Linked DNA regions of Rhinolophus ferrumequinum. The protein of the gene in region 2 interacts with the protein of the main gene of each other region in a pairwise test. Links are inferred from orthologs where the notes say so. Each region holds a gene or a part of one and is shown on either strand. Other genes may lie near its edges.

Region 1 (6,974 bases), about 42 Mb from region 2:
GAGAAACAAGGTTAAATGGGAAGTTTCTCTAGGTTACTTGATTTTTCCAAGTTATACGATGTACTTTTGTGTTTCTTCTTCAGCTGCACACTCTCTCCTTTTCTATCAAAATTCTACTCAATCCACAAGGCTCAGTTAAAATGTTGAGTCCTCTCTAAAGCCCTCTGTACCTCACAAGTGGTTTGTGAATTTCTCCTTCCTCTGCACACTCTTAGCTTACATGTTTATCACAGTATTTTATTTCAATCTGTTTTATACTGTGATTCTCCCAATAGGTTGTGGGGTCCTTGAATACAAGAAGGATGTTATATTTATCTTTCTCTCTCCTGTACCATACTTAGGACAGTAGACACTCAGGTGTTGAATGAATGTAGGAATCAGATGCTGTCTTCCCTTTCTACTGCCTCCAAGATATCATTTCCTTAAATGCCTACTATTGCCTCAAATCAAAACATGTCCAAAAGCAAGCACTTCTCCTCTAAAGCTCCCGTTCAATATTGCTGTTTTTGACACTACCCTAATTCCAGTTTCTGAGGCTAAAAATCTTATATTTGATTAGTCTGTTTCCTTGACTATCTAAGAGCCAAACTATCAGGTTCTTCCAACTCTTGCTGTGAAATAGTTCTTGGAATCACCTTTCTTTTCAATCCCATTATTCCATTCCTAGCAGTAATAATCATCAGTGTAATGATTATTTTTTAGCAACTACCACTATTTATTTAGCATTAAAATTCTGGCCTAAATGCTTTGCATATATTATTTCATTTGAGATTTAAAACATCTGTGAAGCATGTATTCTTATTTTATAGAGGAGAAAAATCAAGATACAGCTTAAATACCCTGCCCAAGTTAGTTAAGTGGCAGAATGGGAATCAAACCCAGATCTGAAGCCAAAGATATTGAATGAGTTGGGCTCTCTCAAGTTGTAAAGAATAAAAATGGAATTTTTAGCAGAGTATTATGAAGATGCACAGAAAGAAGCACAGAAAACTGTTTCATGGAGGCGTATTGTCTCTTTCAAAAGAGTACACCAACATTCTAGCGATCCATTTATTTTGTTGGTCTTTCTGACATAATTATTTGAAGCCTAAAACTTCTGCCCCTGCTTCTACTGCCCTTTTTACAAGTGAGTTCTCTCTCTTCTCCCTCTCTAGTTCTCAGCTTCTATTACCTCACGACTTCTGCTGCCTCATGTGTTTGGCTCTCTCTCACTAAACAAAAATGCTTTACTTCAATTAAAGTGATCTCTTTACTGTTCTCACCATTTCTGTCTACACAACTTCGTATCATTACTTTGAACACAAATACTTTTTTCCTCTTTCTCCACCTGTCAAAAGCCTGTATTTCAAGGCTCCTTCATTACTTCCTTTTAACAGTTCCAATGGATTCTTGAGTGATTACTGTGTGGTAAGTCCTCTTGCTGACTCAGGATGAACCCAGAAAATGAGCAAGAAAATAAACCTTTTGAGATTCTTGCAACATAATTTAGCCTATCCCAATTGCTATACTGACTTCAGGGAAGTTATTTAGCTTCTCCCAGCTTCACTTTCTTTATCTGTAAAATGGAGACTGAAACAGTATCTATAAGATAAGGTTGTTCTGAGGATTAAATGAAATGATAAAGGTAAAAGTACTTAGGTAAAAGTACTTAGCACAGTGCCAATCACAAAAGAAGCATGTAACACATGATATTTTTTAAATTTGTATTACCAACAACTAGCCATTGGTGTGTTAGCAATGACAAATTAGCACAAAGGATAGCATTATTTGCTTTTTTAAAATGTAAAGCTTCAAATTACAAACGTTATAGATTGTAATTTTAGCTGAAAATCCAGGCATCTATGAATTAACACATTTTAAGATAACTACTGTAGAGTTAGCCTAATTCACCATACAAAACAGCTGTTTCTTTTCATATCATGAATTTTGGAATACCATGAGAAAAATAATGTTTCATATATATGCACTAAAAGTCTTAAAGCTCATTGTTATCCTTCTTTTCAAAAGCCTATTTATAATAAGGATCTATTGTACTGTAAATAACTGTGGGATCCAGATTAGCATATTTCATGTGCCACACGATTTATATTTAGTTAAATTTTCTCTCAGCCATATTATGTATGGTTTATTAATAGTTGAAGACCGCTCAGACCTGATAAAGATAATAATAAACACCAACATCTAAATACTGCATAATGTTAAAAGCGCTTTTACATATGGTCTCATTTGACTTTGAATCCTGAGTTATAATTCCATTTCTAGTTGAAGAAAATGGGGCTTGGAGAGTGACCTGTCTAAAGTAACAAAAAACTGGGACTGGAACCTAGGTCTCTACTACACATTTCATGCTTATGCTACCACAGAACCCTGTAGTAATAAACTATTACTGGAATAACATGTGTGCTCTTCAGATGTACGTATGTATCATAAGCCTATTGTTCTACATTGTATAAACGTTACATAAAAAAGCAAAATTATTTTTTCAGGAATGACAAGATTTGGGTCAGTGACAAATGTGATAACTGGGGACATGTTTGCTAGCTTTTTTCAGTCGGATAAACTTGGTGAGGCCAAGATGAATTTAGACAGCATAGTAACTCTTGAAACCAACAGTCTTGTAAACTGACTTACATAAACACTTCATAAAGGGCCAACAACTGAGCCAACAGTTTCACATTCTTATTTTGAAGAAAATTGTCAAATACATTGTTTTATCAAAGAAGTTTTGGTTTGGCTAAACTTAATTGCATTGAAAACCCAGCGTCTGCACTTCAGAAATGAAAGAACTGGCAAGTGTGCTGGAGAAAATGCTAAATGAAAAAAAATATCTAGGGTCTTTCTTAAATAAAACGTTTTAAGAGTACATTTCAAACAAGCCAGTTGCTGTCCAATGTATCAAGAACAATGTATTTGATTAACTAAAGTGCCAAAACAGATTTAAATGGTATCTCGTTTACTTTTTAGAAATTGCAACAACCATTTATAACACAGACTCTTCTAACAAATGACAGTATGAAAAACTTAGCTTTTTAAAAAATAGTGCAATTTTTATGAAGAACTTGACACACGTTGATGTTACTAGTTACCCTGGAGAGCAAAAATCAGAGCTGCTTAAGACACTGTAACATACTCCCCCCCTCCCCCGTCTCCCCACCGCCCCCCCCCCCCGTTTCTTCAGAAGGCAACGTGCAATACACCATGAAAAATTGCTAAGTTGGAACCTCTTAATGCTACGCATTTCCACTACGTTGGATCTTATTTCTCGTTTCCGGTTTAGCCATTAGTAGTGACTGGGAGGTCATGTCACTTCTCAGCATGTTTTGTTTCTCATAAAACGAGAAACTGGGTGGAGGACCAAAAAGAGCTTTGATCCGAATAACGTCTATTAGGTATCAAAAGGTTTTCCTCCGGACTGTGCAGACACAGGAACACCGGCTTCTGATTTTCTCATATCCTATTCCCGAGCCCAGACCTCGTTCCTCTTCTAGCCCAGTTCGGGCTCCTTTAAGGAACAGCAAAGAGAGTTCTTTTAATAAAAGCCAGCATTCCTTTGTCCCTGAACATAGCTGGGAAAGGCTTTCGAAGCCTCAGCTGGTTGAGACCGTAGAGGCGATCCAACCTCGCCGGCGCACCCACCCACTCCATCCCGAGTCTGGCGCCGCAGCCCAGAGCGAGCACGTACTCGGGGTTCTCCGGTACTGTGGGGCGCGCGCTCGCCCTGCTACGGTCCCCATGAAGGAGGGGGGGGATGCCCGGGCGCGTGCCAGGACCGCGGCTGGCGGAAGCGGGGGGCCGCGGGGCCGGGAGGTTCCTGCTGGCGCGGGTGGGGGAAGGGCAATAGCCACACCCGGAACTCGGTGGGGAAGGAGGGAGGGGGGGTGAAGCTTCCGGTAGCGCAAAGGGTGTCGGGAGAAGCTTCCCACAAACCTTCTTCCCTGGCCTCTGGAGGGACCACCGTTGCCGCGGCTTCGGCTTCCACGATCAGCGTTCGGGCTAAACGACCGCGGCGGCCGCCAGTGCTGCTTCCCTTGTGTCTGGCCCTGTCCGTATTCGTTCCCAGGCGGCCGCCCAAGTTCCAGCAGCGGCCGCGGCCGACATGTTGTGAGGCAGCGGCGTGGGTGTCTGAAGGATGGTTTGGCTGAGGCGGCGGCAACGGCTGCTGGCGGCTGCGGCGGCGGCAGCTGGGGCTCCGGCTCTGTAGAGCCAAGCCCACTGGGTGTCCGCCCAGTATACCTCAGCGAGGCCAGTGTCCCTGAACCTTGCCGCTGCTCCGGCACCTTTGGGGACCGGTTGGGCGACAGCGCCCGCCCCTCTGAGGAGACACGAAGGTGTTCCCTGGTGTTCAAATTTCCTGACCACCTTTCTTTTCCTGCCCGCCCTGGGGCAGAATTCTCAGCCCCGCGACTTTCCTCCGAACCTCGCCCTAAATCTGACTGACACACGCTGTGTTCCCTGCCCTCTGGTGCCAACCCTCGCCCCCCCTTCATTTTCTGCCCCCTCTTCTCGTAGAGCCCCCGGGATCACTCTCCGAGGGCGGCCTTTTGAAAAATCTTTGTGGAGTAGTGGACCAGAACTGGGGAGTTCTTAAAAGTCGGGGCGAGAGACATAGGAAGATACGATGGCTTCCTCATCTGGCAACGATGATGATCTCACTATACCCAGAGCTGCTATCAATAAGATGATCAAAGAGACTCTCCCCAATGTCCGGGTGGCCAACGATGCCCGGGAGCTGGTGGTGAACTGCTGTACTGAATTCATTCACCTTATATCTTCTGAAGCCAATGAGATTTGCAACAAATCTGAAAAGAAGACCATCTCGCCAGAGCATGTCATACAAGGTAAGTGTTACGTGTGGGATTTTGTTTAAGTGAAGGTCCGGGGACAGCCTGCTAGTCGCGTGACTCATTCATGTCAAAGCCTTCATTCCTCTCCTCTGATCAGTACTGGAAAATGAAAAAGCCACGCGGGCATGGAGGCAGCGGGTGCCTTCAACAAATTCCTATGTAGTATGCTCGTGGTACTTTTCACCAGCCAATACAAGTAAGGATTGCGAGCATTTAGGTCAGCTAACATCCCCCAAAGGTAAAGTATTAGCAGTCGTTTCAATTTACAGCCAGGTAAGCCGAAGCAACAAGGATTTTGCCTGCCTAAAGAGGAACCTATACATGACAACTGAGAAATTGAAACGTAGATCAGAACATCTGAGAAAGGAATCCAAAAGTACTCCCTTGGAAAATTAAAATTCAGACAGGAAATTCAAGTATGAACAGAGACAGCACCCCTTCCGCACCCGATCTCTTCACCAATGTAGAGAACAAGATGAGTTTTCTGACCACCTGAGTAAAAAAAAAACTTTAACAGGAGTGTGTTCAACGTTTTCAAGTTTGTTGGTGTTGAGTAGAGTCTATTTTCTGCGTTAAAAATGGTTTAATGGTCCAACCGTTCATCCACAAGTTACCAAAGCACTCCAGTTCTATTCTGTAAGAAAAGGGTGAATGTCCTTTTCTTTTCCCCTCTCTCCCATCCTTCTTTCTCTTTTTCTTCTGTGTAGCTCCCTTTGTTCTATGGAGATAAATTTTTAAAGCCTGGTTTAAGAGATTGTAAGAGGTGTTTTTCATGGAACATTTCCCTGTTCTTTCCTGCCCCCATTCCCATTTAGATGTTCACACTCAAGCTTTTATTGAACAGCACTTCTGAAAGTTGCAACAGTTTTTTTCTATCTTTGGAAAGGATTTAGTTCAGTAATAGGGATTTGGGAGACCGTATTCTGATGGTGTGTTTCAAGGATGGGGAGACATATTTACTAGTCACAATATTTCGGGAAGCACATACACCATTATGAAAAAATTGCACTCAATTTGAGGTTATAACTTGCCTTTTATAATAATCCAATTAAAAATCTATCAATTTCTTGATTGCTTTTGAAGTCAGAAAAAAATCATGGTTAATTTTAATCATTTGAGTAGGCTGGTGGTTGTCTACCATTTGATTTTTATAACTTAACTTTTTAAAAGCTGACTTTCCTGTTATTCTGAAGTAGAGAATACATCTGCTCATATTCACCATATCCAATATTTTACTGTCAATATTGACGGAAGGATTAAATGATTCATTTTTGATCTTGAATGATGTGTGGAAGGCAGATATAAATTATACTCTGCCATTTCCATTTCAGTACATAAGGAAAAAAATAAGCCCCTAGGAAAAAGCATGTTTAATTTTAAAGCTACCATTTTTTTCTACTTGTTTGGTATGCTGCATACCCTGGCAAGTAAAATGAAAGCCAAGTTGTCTATTTTTCCTGTGGTGTTTTTTTATTTTCACGTTATATGTTCAATTGTTGTCATAAGTCTTTCTCAAGATTATCCAACACAGATAGCTATAATTTCCTTTTACAACTCATAAAAAAGAAAAAGGATCTTTTATCAACATTGCCTTTTACTGCAAATTGCAAAAGATTTCTAAAGGATCTGCCTAAACATTTGTTTACACCACAGAAGTGGGTATCATTCCAAAAATCTAATAACACATACAATCTGTCTTCTTGGGTAGAGTTTATTCTTTTCTAGGATATATTTAGATTTCTGATTGACATGATGGAATAAAAGTGCAGCTGTAGCAAGCAGTATGCTAAATGCCTCAACTTTGGAATATGCTAAATTCAGTTTAACAACTAGGAAAGTTCCAGTGAAAGCATTTTCCTTTGTGTACTAAGTATGATTTATTAATTTTAAAAAATCATGTATTGACCTGTTATAGTCTAATAAATTTACCTTTTTTTCTTGTAGTATTGATATTAAGTGGATGAAGACCTACCATTTTTGCCCCAAATTTTCCCGTTAGGGGAATAGATTTTATGCATACACATAATCTCATATTACTCTCATATTGCTTAATTATTTTAAAGATTTTTTTTTGTCTTGAGTGGTTAAAAATTTTTTAAAGAAATTTTTCATGTCTGTATATTTTAGGTG
Region 2 (7,490 bases):
TAAGGACACCATCAATAAAATGTTCAGATCACTGAAGAACCCAGTTTCTTTGCTGCTATTTTTGCTTCTGCTGGGATAGAGCGTAATCTCCAAGATCAGGTAATCTTGGGTTATTGAGCAAGACCCTGTCCTTGACAGGAATCGTCATGGTGGTTGAGACCACCCTCTGGTCCCTCAGTCGTTCCTTAGGCTGCCAGATCAGAAGCTGTTCGAGCATCAGATTTTGTGTCCGGGATCTATCTGGCTTTTGCTTCTTTTATTCAACCTGAAACTCTTCCTTGAGTGGCCCAGCGTTCCTCCATGGCCCTTGTCCATTGGAGCTGAGCAGTAGCTGCCCTTTAGATGCATGCACTCGCCAGTTTTCCTCAATTCCCCACTACACCCTATTATTTTCTTGACATTGCTTAAGGCTGGGTTTTAATTTCTATCTCTGTACTGAGCACTAGGGATTTTTGTGGATATAAACAAGACACAGTCGTTGCCTTCAAGATGTCCTCCTCTGTTAATAGAGACATGGTAAAAAGTAACTATATGTGATAAGTGCTAGAGTCAAATGTATATTTAGGTATTAATTGAGTACCTATCACATACCAGGTATTAATGCTGAATGCTTTAACTTATCTCATTTAAGCCTCAACACTCATGTGAGTTGGTGCTTTTTTTCCATTTTGCACATGAAGAAGTGAGCTCAGAGACAGTTAAGTAACTTGACCAAGGTCGTACGGCTAGTAAATAGGTAGCTGATTCATAATCAGTTTTCTGACTAAGAGCGTCAGTTCCCACCTTGCATTCTTTGAGAGCATTAAAGCTTGAACCATGGTTTTGTCTCATAGTGATCTGGGTGTGTTTTAGGGGAAGACGATGCACTGACCTGGTATAGAGGGCTGCTGAGATCCAGGACCAGGAGAGAATGTGAGTTGGAATCCCAGAGATCTCATGAGGCGCTCAGTTGACAGTAATGACAGGCTAGAGAAGGAAAAGCTCTAGTACGTGAATGGGTCAGGCTGCCAATGGAAGTCCTAGGATGATTTGAGGTCTCTCCGCACTATTCTATTAAGGTGACTTTTGATGAAAAATAGCAGTTGAAGTGGGTTTGTTGTAGTTTTTGTGTGTGTGTGTGCAAACTGCCAAGAATTAATAAAAACTATGTCAAAGATCTTCACAGTGTGAGGAGACATGTTTGGTTTAATCTGCTACATCAAAAGCAGAGTAGAAGGGTAGGTTTTTGGAACAATAAGCAGACCTCAGCCAGGATTGGTGGTGAAAGGCATGGATTTCTGACATAAAAACTGGGGAGGATTTTTAGTAGCAGCTGGTAGTCCTCCCACATGGCCCTTTGTGGCTCAGGAGTTGCTTTATGCAGGGTTGCAGAGTATGCTGCAGATAAAAGAGAGACATTCCCTCATAGTAGCTTTAGGACCTTAAGGAGATAGGTCTCTCTGAACTAAGCCTGTGGAAGGAATTTGGCTTGGATGCTTTTTAGTACTTTTTTTCAGTGCTTGTTCAGTACAATATACTTTACATATGTTATTAGCTCATTTAATTCTTACAGTGGCTCTGTGATATAGATGGGGATATCCAGATATTACAGGTGAGGAAACTGAGTCTCAGGGTTAGTCCAGCGTCATACAATTAATTGATAAGTAGAGGAGTCAGAGTTTGAAACTCGCGTTGCCCGACTCCCCAGTGCTTAGTTGTTTTGCCGTTGGGACACTGATTAATAGTGATGTGAAAATGTTCTTCCTCTTCCTCTGCCTCCCACTCCTCACATGAGCTTCTTTGCTTCCTGGCAGCTGACTTGACCCCAGTGTGTTGGGGTTTAAAAGAGGCTCTAGTGTGGATATGGCACACAACTGGCCTGTTGGCCTTCTGCTGTCTCGTCTCAGAATCTGTGGTCTAAACTTTCAAGAAGAGAACTTACAATACCTGCAACTCTGCAGCTTCAGGAATTGCCCCACGACACACCCTGTTAGCCTAACTAGACTCTTACTTAGATGCCATAGTGAAATTGCCATGCAATCCCTTAATATTTTAATGTATACTGTTTTTAATGGTTTAGTTGTTAGTTATTTCAAGTCCTTAGAAATGTGATTTGCTACTGGTTAAATGTTCCTAATAGCTGAGTAATAAAATTTGTGTCAACTTACAGGCTCTGTTATTTTCAGATACTTATCTAGGTCTCTAATCAAAAGATCAAATTCAACATTAGTCACATTTCTGATTTTTAAATTAATGAAGTTGGGTATAATGGTTTATGCTATCTGTACATACATGTGACACCTAAGAATTTCCTTGGGTGTGCCCTGAGGTGCTCCATGTTTTGGTAAGCATTGTGGTGCAGTGGAAAGAGTTCTACCCTATGGGACCTGAGTTTGCATCCTAGATGTGCTGGTATGGCTAGGGGCTGGTTGTTTAACTTCTTTGAACCTCACTGTTTCTCACATGTTAAAAGGGGATAGTGAAGATTAGAGGGGTAAAGTACCTAGCACAGAACCTAGCACTGATTGGTGTTTAGAAATTATTTTCATTTCAATGTGGGAAATGAGTAGAGTGCGTGTAGAGAAGTTAATACGGCAAAGTGATCAGACAGACCGCCTTGCTTACATTTCAGGGCTCTGCCAAATCGCTGCATATGCCCATGATGACCCGTCATGTGAGATGAACCAAGGTATTTCTAGAAAAGTGGTCATGTACTTGGCAGAAGAGTTATGTTTAGTCTTGGGACCCTTAGCTTTGATGGGCGGATGCAGATCTAGGAGATTGTTAAAGGCCCCAGATAATAGTGAGACATTTCTATTTGAATATTTTGTGGAAAAGAAAAGAAAAAAGGCATGTTGACTGATTTTCACCATATTAGTAGGCTCCTCTTAAAACCTAAACAGTTAGTGGTGGTGATGGTGGGGAACCTAAACAATTGGGCCCAAAATCCGGAAGGAGATCTTCAACCAACACTGGAGTGTCTTCAGTAACCACAATACTACAGGTTTCCCCCACTATCCAAAAGTAGCTCATTATTATGAAACCTTTGTAAGCTGAAATGGCATAAAGTGAAGACGCAATCACCTTAGGACACATCTTGCTAACAGACGTACAAAATAAATCGAGATAAAGCACAGCTGCTCACAGACGCATTTCAGAGCTATGGTGGGTGGATGCTGAGATGCTGAGTGTAGTTCCTGGGGAAGGAGCTTGGTGGTGTCATTCTTGCTGCTCAGGTGCTCGCTGCAAAACAAACGCTGACCGCTGTTTTTGCTTTTCACATTTTTTCATAAAAGCGAAAATCCTTTTCGGATTTCTTTTGGTTATGAAAACAGGTACTAATGTAGTAGGTCTTTTGTAAAAGCAAAGTCGTAAAGCGAACTTTCGAAAAGCAGGGGATACTGGTATTTACAATATCTCAGGCTGAGATCGACCCTGCTGCTTATTCTTGAAAATGTGGTAGAAAAATTGATCTTCTATCGGAAACTAGTCAGCAACATTTTGTGGCCGCCCTAAATAAATTAGTTAATCCATCAAACTAAAATGTGCTTTAAACACTATATTCACTGATGCTCTATCTTTGCCATTTCCACCCTCCCCCCCTTCATTATATTTTCCTCTTGGGTTCCTGGTAGACTTTTTGGGAATGCCACTCTTTCTGTCACTAACTTCATACATTACCCCAGAATTTTCCCATTTAGATCAGTTTGTATTTCAAAATAAAGTGATTTGCCTGGTATAAATACGTACGTGCTTTTAAAATTAACATGGACACAATGACAGATACCTTTTTAGAAATCCTGCAAACTTTTGTATGGCCATTGATACCACTCTTTGGTACTGTTAAAGAAGCTGCATTTTCTTCGGAACCATTGGATCATCCTACCCCATTTTCTTTGTTTTCTTCTGTTAATGCACGACAGAAAACTGAAGATAGAAGTCACAACTTTCCGACCTTGTGCACATTGCTTCTCTGGTTTACTGCCATAGGATACTGTAGTAATATCTTACAGACATCTTTGATGGCCAATCAGAAGCAGTTAAATTACCTTAAATTTTTTAAATGGAACTCTGACAGCCAATAAGAAATGCTTTGGGTGGGAACTGTAACAACCCTTTCGTGTGATTTTAAAAACAATTCTGGATTTGCAATATCCTCTGTTTTGTAAACGCATGGGGCCCTAACGCATCTGCTCTGTGCATTTGCCAGGCATTTCCAAGCCTTAAGTTCCCTGTAGTTTGAAGTCTGAATCTGACCCCTGTTCTGCTTCTCAAGGTAACTTTAAAACAGGAAGTGTACAAAGGAGGTAACTGATGACGTGAACAGCCAATCGTGGCTTTGTATTCTTAGCCGATGAAGCAGCTCAGCCAATGGGAGCATTCTGGAGGCAAGGTTTGGTGTCAAATAGCATGTTAGATTGAATGCCTTTGACTGTTAAAGTGGAAGGAGGCTGCAGGGCTTCATTGGAGCCTCGGAGTTTTTCACTGAGGCAGGGGTCAGCTGAAAGACAAAGAAAAATGGCGAATAGTTTGCTGGGGGGTGGGGGGACAGCTGTTCGGGTTTTCACTGGAGTGGACATTCCAGACTCAGGTTTCTGCATCTCCTGCTGCCTTTTGTTTCCTCCGTCCTTTTGGGGGGGAGGGATAGGAGTGACTTAAATTCTCCCTGTCCGAGGAGATATAAATAACTACATGTAAAATTAATGCAGTTCCCGGTAAGTTTAATTCTTTGTTTTGTGTTAAAATGGTAGAAACTGTTTAGCTTCAGAGAGTGTAGACAAGTTGCACTGTTTCAGAAAATGGCCACTTTACATTCCATGCATACCTTTTGGTGCACCTAGAATACCTTGCTCTGTAGATTTTGCATGCCCTTCAACTAGGATTTCTTTTCCTAGTTGAGTATCGGCAAGATCAGGTACATGAAGAAAGGCTAATCATTTTCCAGGGACACACAGAAGCAAAGCACTTTCTCTTTGCATTGGGTAAACTTAACTGTTTTCCAAATAATTTTCCTTTGTTCAAGTGCACTGAAGCTTTCCTACAGAATAAGCTGAGTAGTTGTAAGACTTTTTCTATTTCCATGCACTTTGTTGACATCTGTGTTTTCAGAGGTAGAAGCAACACTATCGCTGTTCTAAATTTGTGTTAAAATATGATTTGCACTGATGCAGGTTGTAATGGTGAAGGCCCACATGCCAATGTGAAATTCTCCCTTAACTTTCTCAATTACCTGTCTGCTTCTATATTCTAATAAGTACCAATTAATTAAGTAACTATCTTTGTTTGAAAATGCACATTTTAGCATAGAATGCTGTTTAGAAACACACTTCTTCACTATATTGGCAGGGACAAGAGCACATCTTTTTCCACCAATTTCACACATTTTGTCAGGTGTTGATTTGGTTCTTTAATGTGAGCAAAACGCTTTTCATTTTCTGTATGAAATATTTAAATCCTAATTTACCTGCAGTTTGTGAATAGGAAAGTTTATAGGCACCCTACCCTGTCTTTTGCCCTTGGTATTTTTTTTCCTCTTTAGGATATGAAGCTAATGCAGGTTGCTAATCAATAACGAGCCGTTCTTGTGAATAGTGAAATCTTCCATCCCGGGCACTAAAGAGCTATGATACACTTGATTTTAAAAAGCAATTCTTTGTTTTCTTTTTATTTGCAAGTATGGAATGAAGGTCATTGGAACATTTCTGCTGCAGACTCAGTGTGGAGCCCTGAGCCAGCAGCACTTACACTGTTCCTCTGGGTAGGGAACAGGAGCAGGCCCTCTTAGAGGAGAAGTTTGGAGGGTGTTGATTTGCCTTCACCTCGCTTCCTCTGGAGTAAAGGATTTACCTGAGAGGATCGATAGGGGTTTAGATTTTGGACTCTTAGAATTGGAATGGTGGAGCAGTCAAAGTTGCTAGATGCAGGCCTCTGTCGTTGCTTGCAAAAGTGACCTTGAAAAACTGCCGAGGAGTGGAAAGATTGAAGGACAAAGTTTGTTTATACAGATTTGGACTGAAAAGCTCTATTTAAGATGAAAAGAGACTGTACTTCTGATGTCCAAGTTGAGTGGTTAGTAGGACTATGTTACAGATTCAAATTGGGAGTTTTCAAGCAATAAGACAATAGGGCTGTATTCATTTTCTCCTACTCTTCTCCGTACCCTCCCCCCCAGCAAAAAATTCTAAATCCTTGTGGTATGATAGTTGAGTGAACTGCCTAACAGATTCAGAATTCCTTGCATGCTACCTTGTCTTCTGTGTAATCTAGAGAGTTCTTAGTGAAGAATGGTATTTCAGGAGTTCAAAGTAGTTACGTTTGTGAAACTTCTTTTGGGAAATTGGAATGCTTATGGTAAGAAAACAGTCATTCTGGGAAGTTATGTTACAGGAGAAAGGAGTTTGTATTAAGGATTACATTTAAACAGGTAATTATTTTAATTTAACTTTATTTTTACAAGTCATTGATTTATATGTTGTCAGCTGCTTCAGGTTTTATATATTATTTAAAAACAGTTATAGATTCTGAATGACCCTATTGGTCCCGGAGAAGGCCTGGAGAGGGGAGGCAGAGGTAAGTGGGGCACAGTTGGAGGCCTAGATAGAACGCTTTATATTAAGAACTTGGTGGATTTAGCTTCTTGGAAAGATACCTAGCCACTGTCTCTGGCCTGGGTTCTTAACCTTTTTAGGGTCATGTCCTCTGAGAATCTGACCCACTGTCTGGAAAATGCACATCGGCATGCCTGTACCCCTGGTGACTAAGATATTTTACAGTATATGTAGAATGGTGTTTATATGATCTCTTCATTTATACTTTAGCCAGGTAAATGTTTGCCAGAGAAGTGAAAACTCTAAACTCTACTTCCATAAGGAGCAAAGACCTTTTAGAGCTAACTATAACTTAGACTAGGGGTGGCTGTGTGTGGGAGGGGGATGCTTAGATGGGGTCTGAAATTTGGGCATTTATTTGCTCTGATTACAGTATTTGAAGCAGCATGGTGCAGTAGCAGAAGCAGGCAATTTAAAGTCAGGAGGCTTGTGTTCAGGTCCCACATAGCTATCACCAGCTTTGTGAGCTTGGGCAAGTCAGCCATTTAGTGTCAGCTTCCTCACATGTAAAAATGGGACCTAAAAATAGCACCTTCCTATTTAGTAGTGTCTCGGATGAGATCATGTATGTCAGAGTGCTTTGCAAATTGTGAAGTGCAACGTAAAGGTTAGTTGTTACTAATCCAAACTGTTGGGGTTGGTTAATTGCTTATGAAGATAGATGTGGCATCAAAGGAAAAAAAATGCCAGTATTTTAATACACCTATAAAGGAGTTTGTCAGTACTTCTCTTTTAAACTGGTTCCACGTGCCTTCACCTGCATATTCCTGTTTATGTTGACATGACTCTATGTAATGCATACATTGAGACTATTGAACTTCCCTTACCAAGATTCCTATGAAAGAATTTTAACCCCTTTGTCAAAAATTAGGGTCCTCTTGGAATAAGATGTTATGGGAATGC

Evidence for each region. The genes of interacting proteins can lie anywhere in the genome.
Region 1: the proteins of NFYC (region 2) and DR1 interact in binary tests that used the Homo sapiens proteins (3 or more experiments, as listed by UniProt). The link is inferred for Rhinolophus ferrumequinum from reciprocal best matches to the Homo sapiens genes NFYC and DR1.

What each region holds. Positions count from the first base shown.
Region 1 is NC_046292.1:70,528,143-70,535,116, forward strand, and holds the start of DR1 (protein Dr1), read left to right. Parts: upstream 1-3,895; 5' UTR 3,896-4,618; coding exon 4,619-4,838; intron 4,839-6,974. UniProt on the Homo sapiens protein: The association of the DR1/DRAP1 heterodimer with TBP results in a functional repression of both activated and basal transcription of class II genes.
Region 2 is NC_046292.1:28,481,796-28,489,285, forward strand, and holds the start of NFYC (nuclear transcription factor Y subunit gamma), read left to right. Parts: upstream 1-4,427; 5' UTR 4,428-4,497; coding exon 4,498-4,570; intron 4,571-7,490. UniProt on the Homo sapiens protein: Component of the sequence-specific heterotrimeric transcription factor (NF-Y) which specifically recognizes a 5'-CCAAT-3' box motif found in the promoters of its target genes.